Oryzias latipes: one gene and its partner. The protein of the gene in region 1 purifies or fractionates together with the protein of each later gene. This does not show direct contact. Links are inferred from orthologs where the notes say so. Each region holds a gene or a part of one and is shown on either strand. Other genes may lie near its edges.

What was found.
Region 2: the proteins of sos1 (region 1) and eps8 purify together in Homo sapiens (affinity purification with western blotting; 5 studies listed by BioGRID and IntAct, with this or other methods). This does not show direct contact. The link is inferred for Oryzias latipes from reciprocal best matches to the Homo sapiens genes SOS1 and EPS8.

What each region holds. Positions count from the first base shown.
Region 1 is NC_019859.2:117,423-121,174, forward strand, and holds the start of sos1 (son of sevenless homolog 1), read right to left. Parts: upstream 2,654-3,752; 5' UTR 2,199-2,653; coding exon 2,112-2,198; intron 841-2,111; coding exon 715-840; intron 410-714; coding exon 278-409; intron 69-277; coding exon 1-68. Other genes in the region: tmem178a (transmembrane protein 178A), read right to left, coding at 3,717-3,752.
Region 2 is NC_019881.2:23,585,248-23,588,899, forward strand, and holds part of eps8 (epidermal growth factor receptor kinase substrate 8), read right to left. Parts: intron 2,926-3,652; exon of another isoform or gene 2,870-2,925; coding exon 2,792-2,869; intron 2,675-2,791; coding exon 2,607-2,674; intron 2,412-2,606; coding exon 2,355-2,411; intron 1,458-2,354; coding exon 1,390-1,457; intron 1,318-1,389; coding exon 1,156-1,317; intron 1,131-1,155; exon of another isoform or gene 1-1,130. UniProt on the Homo sapiens protein: Signaling adapter that controls various cellular protrusions by regulating actin cytoskeleton dynamics and architecture. Depending on its association with other signal transducers, can regulate different processes.

The DNA.
Region 1 (3,752 bases):
GAGATGTACTCCAACACAGCTACCATGTACACGGACACCTGGTGCTCAATCTTATAGCCCAGAACCTCCTGAACACAATGCATGATGGGAGACAGAGAGATGCAAAAGTCCTGAGATCTTTTCAGTGCTCCAAACCGCGGCCCGCTTCCCCAAACTTTCTACTCTGTGGAAGCCAACAGCAAAGCTTCTTCCTGAAGACGATTCTGTCTGAGAGTCAGAGTTACTGATAAACATGGACAAGAGCGGAGGATGGAGAAAACACTGACAGGACGGTTACCTTCAGCAGGGGATGGATCTTATCAACCGGCAGAGACAGAGGGTTCCTTCTCTTCCTTTTCTCGATGGCCGCCTGAGCATCTGCAATCGCCCACTTGTCGATAGGATAAGGAAAACTCTTCTGGACCCTCTCCTAAGACAACCGACAGAAGGTGTGAGGACCAAGTGACCTGACCTGCAGGCTTGACCTCACTTAGGTGACTAAAGGTAAGAGGGTTTGTTTCCAGGTTTCAGCATCCCTAAGCCTGTAGGTCTGAATCATTGGTGGAGATTTCAAGGGCTTGTTGGTGGAACATGCATGTGGCCACGGCAAACGTGTGCACGTGTGGATGGGTGCAGGTGTGCACGTGTGTTTGTGTGCACATGTATTTCTGTGCATGTGTGTATCTGTGTATGTGTGCATGCGTGTATCTGTGCATGTGTGCACGTGTGCGTCACCTCCACGTCCTGCACTGTGCGAGGCTGGGCCTGACACAACATGCTGAGCAGCAGCAGGATCAGCTCTTCGATGTACTGCAGCGCCTCCTGCTGGGACTTCAGGTTGGGGTGTACCTGGTTCAGTACCTGCAGCGTGCAGCCACACACACAACGTTTGATCAATAATTAAACAAAACGAAATGACAGAGCAGGTTTGATCAGAACAAGCAGAAACACAGGCCTCATGGATATGTGCTGCCCCCCAGTGGAGGAGGACAGAAAGACACCTTTCTCTCTGAGTTTCTGTTGGTTTTAGCTTCTTCTGTGTTTCTTTTTTTTAATTTATGTTCACCAACAGGCCGAAACCCACTTATGGGCGACGGTCAGACTCTACACCGGGTTCAGGTCTGCATGCTGGTCCCACAGGAACCAGGTAAAGACCAGACCTGCTGCTCCTTTCATGCAGCTAAGAAGACCTTCTCTGGAAATGTTCCCGTCCAGAACCACAGCTGATGATCACAAACAGTTATTTTAGTCCAGTTTTAAAGTCGTTTAATCATAATTTAACCTTTTGGGTTTTAAATCCCATTAAATTAATACATGCAGGAGTCCAAACATCTGTCCTGACCCAATAGAACATCATCTGAACCCAGGAGACCTCAGTCCATCCAACCTCCCACATTTCCACCTGATGCACCGCTGGCAGTAGAACCAGAACCAACACAGAAACCATGAGCGTTACAAACCAGGTCCACATGGTGGTAGACCGTGTTGTGGGTCAGAAACCTGTCATCATTCTTTGAGTTCCTGTTGTAGTTTCTGCCTACCAGCTGGACTCTGCCATCATTAAATGGATCTCTCAGGACGCGGGCCTGATGACAGCGGTCAGAGGTTCTGATGGTGAGCAGAACTTATGAAACATGGATCCAGAGGGTCAGAGGTCAGCCACCTGGAGCGCTTCTACCCGGTCCAACCCACAACTTTGGAGGTCCAACAAAGAACTCTGGGACAGTGAGGAACAGATTTGCAGAGTGTTGATCTTCTAAATCACAAGAGAACCACATCAGTCCAGGTCGGATCGGGACTGAAGTGGTCCAGGTCGGATCGGGACTGAAGTGGTCCAGGTCGGATCGGGACTGAAGTGGTCCAGGTCGGATCGGGACTGAAGTGGTCCAGGTCGGATCGGGACTGAAGTGGTCCAGGTCCGATCGGGACTGAAGTGGTTCAGGTCGGATCGGGACTGAAGTGGTCCAGGTGAGCTGGAAGAGTCCAGAACCTGTAGCCTCCGGGGAGCAGGCAGACCCCGCTGCCCCCATCTGACGTCAGCCGTCCTGTCACGGAACGGCCCGGCTTACCTGCAGGGCCACACCTGGCTGCAGCAGCCGCCTACGTGCGTGCGTGCGTGCGTGCGCACCTACCTTCTCCAGGGAGGGCACCAGCAGGCCTCTCCACCGCGGAGCGTTGTCCTCGCTGCAGAAATCGAACTGCAGCTGGCCCGTCTGCATGCTCACACGCACGCGGCTCCGTTTGGCGTGAATTCTGTGCGCGGCTTTGCGGGTCCAGCTGCGCGGCTGAAGCCGGGGGCCTCACGACGTCCGGGATCCGCCGGGACCGCCGCCACCATCCTCGGCTAACCGTTAGCTCCGCGGCTAGGAGCTAGCTGGACCGGGCGGAGGGCATGGCTTGCTGCGCGCTCCCGGGCTGCGCGCTCCCAGCACAGGCTCGCCGGCGGCGGGAGGGAGGGGGTCTCTGCGTCGGTTACTGGGCGCGGAGGGGGGGGTCAGCGGAGCAAACGGCGCGCCGCGGCTGTCATGTCACCGTTGCGGCTGGGGGGGGGGGCTCCAGTGCGGCGCCTGCGGGTGGGGGCCGCGTGACACCCGGTCTGTCTCAACCAGGATCCGAACCGGAAGGTCGGACGGTCACCTGCTGACGGCTGCAGCGCTCCGGAGGACCGAACCGAACATGGCGAGATAGTGAGCATGCGCAGTGGGTAGTTGCTGACGTTCAGGGGCGGGGCTGCTGTAGAGCGGAGAATCAAACTGATCTGATGGGAATCGGACCACCGGAACATAGGAGCACGTGCAGGTCAGAACTCAAATAATAAACTCTGTCCTGATGTACGTTTTTGAAGGTTAGAAACAGAACCGGAACCAGGACTGACCTTGATCTGGGTCGGGGGGGTCGTAACAACCCCCCTCCGCCCCCATTAGCTTCAAAGTTCCAGAGTGGAGTCTGATTTGAAGATTCAACACTCAGAACCAGAACCAACTGAGGGACTCCGTACCAATGAGAAGAAACCACTCTGAGATCAGGTGGGCTTCAAGTATTTTATTTACAAATGGGGGGGGGTCAAGTGGTGTGTGGGTGGGGGTCAGGTTAAGTGGTATGGGGGGCCCTGTTCGGACCTTCTTACCTGCACTAAGGAGGTGTCTTGATCACCTTTACAAAAATCTGGTGCTGTTGAGTGAAAAAGGTTTGGACACATCTAAGTTCTGCTGACTTTTCAATGGACCGGACATGGGGATCACGACCCCCCCCCCCCCCCCATGTGTCTCCCACCTGTCTGTGGCCTGATGGGGGGGCTGAAATGGATCTGGGCTCATCTGGAGCCAAAAACTGCGCCTCCATGCAGTCAGAGAGGAGGCTCCATCATCGGACCTGAACCCGCCCCTCAAGATTCAAACTCACCAGATCTTCACCTGTGATCACACCTGTGTAAAAACCGCAGGGGGGGGGGGTCAGCCAAAATACATAATTTCACAATGAGAAACGGTCACTGGCTAACAGACACTGTAAGACCCGTCCAAGCCGGGTCGGACGGCGGTTCCTCTGACACTACAAACACTGTTCCTATCGAAGACACCCAGAAGGGGGCGCCATGCTCCACAGAAGCTTTGCAGCAGAGGTATGAGTCCTCTTGAGGTTCTCCCTCAGCAAGAGTCCAGAAGCCAGTGTAAATAAAACCTCTGCAGCCCAGTCTGGACCACGTCTCGGAGTCCGGTGTCCTGCTGATCACCAACAGCTCACACAGAAGATTCCCGTGCAGTTTTGGACCTCAG
Region 2 (3,652 bases), on another chromosome or scaffold:
TGTGCTTTTATTTTGAAATCCGTCATTTGAACTTTATGAGAACCTGTCTGCACATAACCTGGGGTGTGTCTTTATTGGCAGCTGGGTGGAGCTGGGTGGAGCTGTGAGTCAGCGGCCGTTTGGATGTTTGTTCAGGGGGCGTAGAAACTCCAGGTCACCTGACCAACTCCCTTCAGGCCTGATCTCAGAGAGGATCCACCTGTTCTCTGCTCTACGTCTGCATGCAAACGTTCCTCTACACTTTACTGGCTTCCTTAAATCCAGAAGGTCTTTACAGAGCTGTACTTACAGTGGGTCGGCTGTAGGGGGCACTGCTGTATCAACATTAGCCCCGCCTTTTCTAGAGTGGTGAAACAGCTGGCCACGCCCATTTCTGCCACACAACCTTCCATCTACGTGAAAAGAAACTCACCTGTGTTCTCCGAGGATTTCCCCTGAAAATGTGACAAGATCCGACAAATGATCGCGTTTTACATTTTAAACGTTCAACTGCGTTTGACGTAATCTGACCGGAACATGAAGACACGGATAGTCAAAATAAATCTGAAGTGGGAGGAGCACACTGACCGGAGTTTACTCCGCCCACATCTACAACTTTCCTAAAACAGGAGAGGAGGAACAAAATTCAGTAAGACTTTCCCCCAAGGCTCCGCCCACCTGCCAATCAAAAGGAAATCTGTAACTAAGGTCTATCAAAATGAAAACATGGAACCCCCCGTCACCCAACCCTGCTCCGATTTCCTAAATGATTATAAAGAAAAGAAACACCTGATATCACCTGTAGATGTGTTTAGAGGGGAGCGAACGGGACGAATCTCCTTTCTGCCCTCTAGTGCTCATTTGAGGAACTGCAGGGTTTTCCTCACTGAAGCTACTTTGACATTTTAGAAAATTAGTAAGAAACCTGAAAGCATTTATTCATTTTTATAAAACGTACCAACATTATAATTAACTTTGTTTGGAAGTCAGTCAGCACAAGAAACAGCAAACAAAAGGTCAAAGGTCACCAGGTTTTTACACGACTTTACATTTAAGCTGCTTTGAAAAACTCATTTTCTTCTTTTTCCTGAAAAAACCAAGAAACCTTTATAAGACCCTCAATGCTGCTCCCCTGACAGCACCGTTTCTTCTAGGGGGGGTTCAGAAAAGCCTCACCTGAGTCTCCAGGTCCATCAGGCTGACCCCCCTCTCCTCCACCTGCAGCAGCATCTCCTGAGTCCACACCTTCCCTTTGGCGTCCAGCAGCCGCAGCCGCCTGACGCCGTCGTCCACCGAGATCATCCCGTCCTTCCGGTCCAGAACGAATGTCATCAGGTGCTGGACGGGACCAGAACGGAGGTTAGAGCCCCCGCAGCTAGAGGTTCTGCTGCTGGGCAGGGCGGGACTCACCTCCACCTGGTACCGCGACGTGTCCGTCAGGCTGTTGATGCTGGTTCTGGTGTAGCGTTTTCTGGGTTCTGGCAAAGAAGCGGAGCGGTTAACCGAGACCCTCCGCCTTCTCAAAGTCCATTTGGACACCCTTAAGGTCAACGGCACACGCAGACAGAACCTGCTCCAGAACCCAAAACACAAACAGGGCTTCTGCTGGAGGTCTGAAGAACCTCAGAGGTCTGGATGTTTGCATCTGTTCTACAGCGAGATGACGGACAAACACCACAGTTATGATGATGCCTTCAAGGACCACAGCTTCTTTGATCTGGTGGGTGTGGATTTTCCTGCAGGTTATCTGCCGTCTGAAGGGTTAAGTACATCAAATGTTCTGTCTGTTTTGTCACAAAGATGTCCACAAACCAGACCACATGCAGCAGAACCGTCCAAAGACCAGAGTCAGAGGGAAAGTCCGCAGACCAAAAGGATTCTGGGAGAAGAGAAACGTGTGAACGTTGTTTCAACACTTGTACTGATTTATGGGCGTTCTGTGTTTGTTATGCTTTTAGAAGCAGCTGGACCCTGAGATTCAGAACCTGTCAGGTTCTAAAGGATCCATCAGCTTCTTCAGCCCCGTTGAACGCAGGAAACGCAAAGACAAAGCGGCGTGGCGTCCATCAATCCCCGCCGCTGAAGTATCTGCTGCCTTCAGGCGCTGCAGAAGAACCGGACATCCTCCGCTGCTGTTATCAGCAGGAGCAAAGCGGCTTCAGCTGCAGCAGATAACGGACCAGCGCCAAGCACACGTGCAGAACCCTCAAGGATCAGGTTCTGGTCTGTGAACGTTCACGTTTCAATAAAGTTTTACTGTTGAAACAGTGAAAAAAACTATTTTAAATAAAGTTAAAGCAGAAGACAACATCTCACGTGCACACACACGCGTGCAAACACACACGTGCACACACACGCGTGCACAGTTGTCCTACTTTGAGTTTTCTTTTTGTGTTTGGACGACGAGCGCAGGAAGTACATTTCCTCTGATCCTGCAGACCAATGACAGCAGACACCAAAGTTCTGACCCACTGTCACAAACGGGCCGGAGCCACACCAGCAGCGGGACTACAGGAGTGACCTCGTCAGACAGAAACACAGAGAAGGTCTGCAGGTCCACCAGGAAGATAAAACTGGAGCTGACCCAGAACCAGGACCACGTTCCAGGTCCAACAGCAGAGACTCACCGTACAGAACTTTGGGACCGGGCTTGGCTTTGCTCCTGCGGGCTTCAGGAGACGGGCCGTCATGGCCGCTGCAAAACAAACAGATCATGTTGGACCTCCGTCTGCTCAGAACCGCTCTCTCTCTGTGACCCGCAGAACAGTCGTGGTTGGTTCTGTTCGTGACCCGGAGGATCAGCCGGACTCACTTGACGTGTGCGCTGGAGGAGGAGAAGCCGCCCGAAGACGCAGCTGCAGCTTCGTATCCGTTCATCCTGCAGGATCCACTGCAGCAGAGACAAGCAGCTGCAGTAATCTGATTACAACCTGTGAATCAGCTGATCTGTCGGCAGAGAACGATCAAAGACAGGAAACACAAACGGGTTTCATCAGAAAACGACCGACTGTTTGGACTTTGGTTCTTAGTTTGGTCCTGAATGTGAGCTCGGCACGGTGGTGGCAGTGTCATGGGATCAGTTATGTTCTGTCTGAACTCTGAAGCAGGTTTTTAGGCTGCAATACAGAAAGGAATTATGGGTAAATCAGTGACTTTCAACAGCAAAAGCAGGTCAACTGATGGTTGAACCCGATTGATCCAGCAGCTAACCCCCCCCCCCCCCCCCCCCCCCCCCCCCCCCCGAGCACACAGCTTTCCCCACAGATCTGCAGGGGTGTTGAGCTCTAGGATAAGAACAAAAGTTCTGACCCCCAGAATCTGGGCCCGTGTCTGTGCGCCTTGAGCTTCCTGTCCACCATCCCATTAGAACCAAACAAAAGGAGAGCCGGGGGGAACCCGGGGCACCGACCAGCCATGGGTGATTACTTTTCCCAGGACTCCCTGTTCTATTCCCACTTCACGCTAAACTTTGTTTCCATAGCAACCACAGACCAAGCATGTCTGCTGCTGTGAGAGAGAGATAGACGCCTGCAAGACCGAGAGCAGGAAAGAGAACCCAAAGTCGCAGGAAAAAAAGTCACTCATACACAAACACACACGTCATCACACACACGCACACAAACACACACACGTGCATATATACACACAAGCATGCACTCCCACAGACACACAT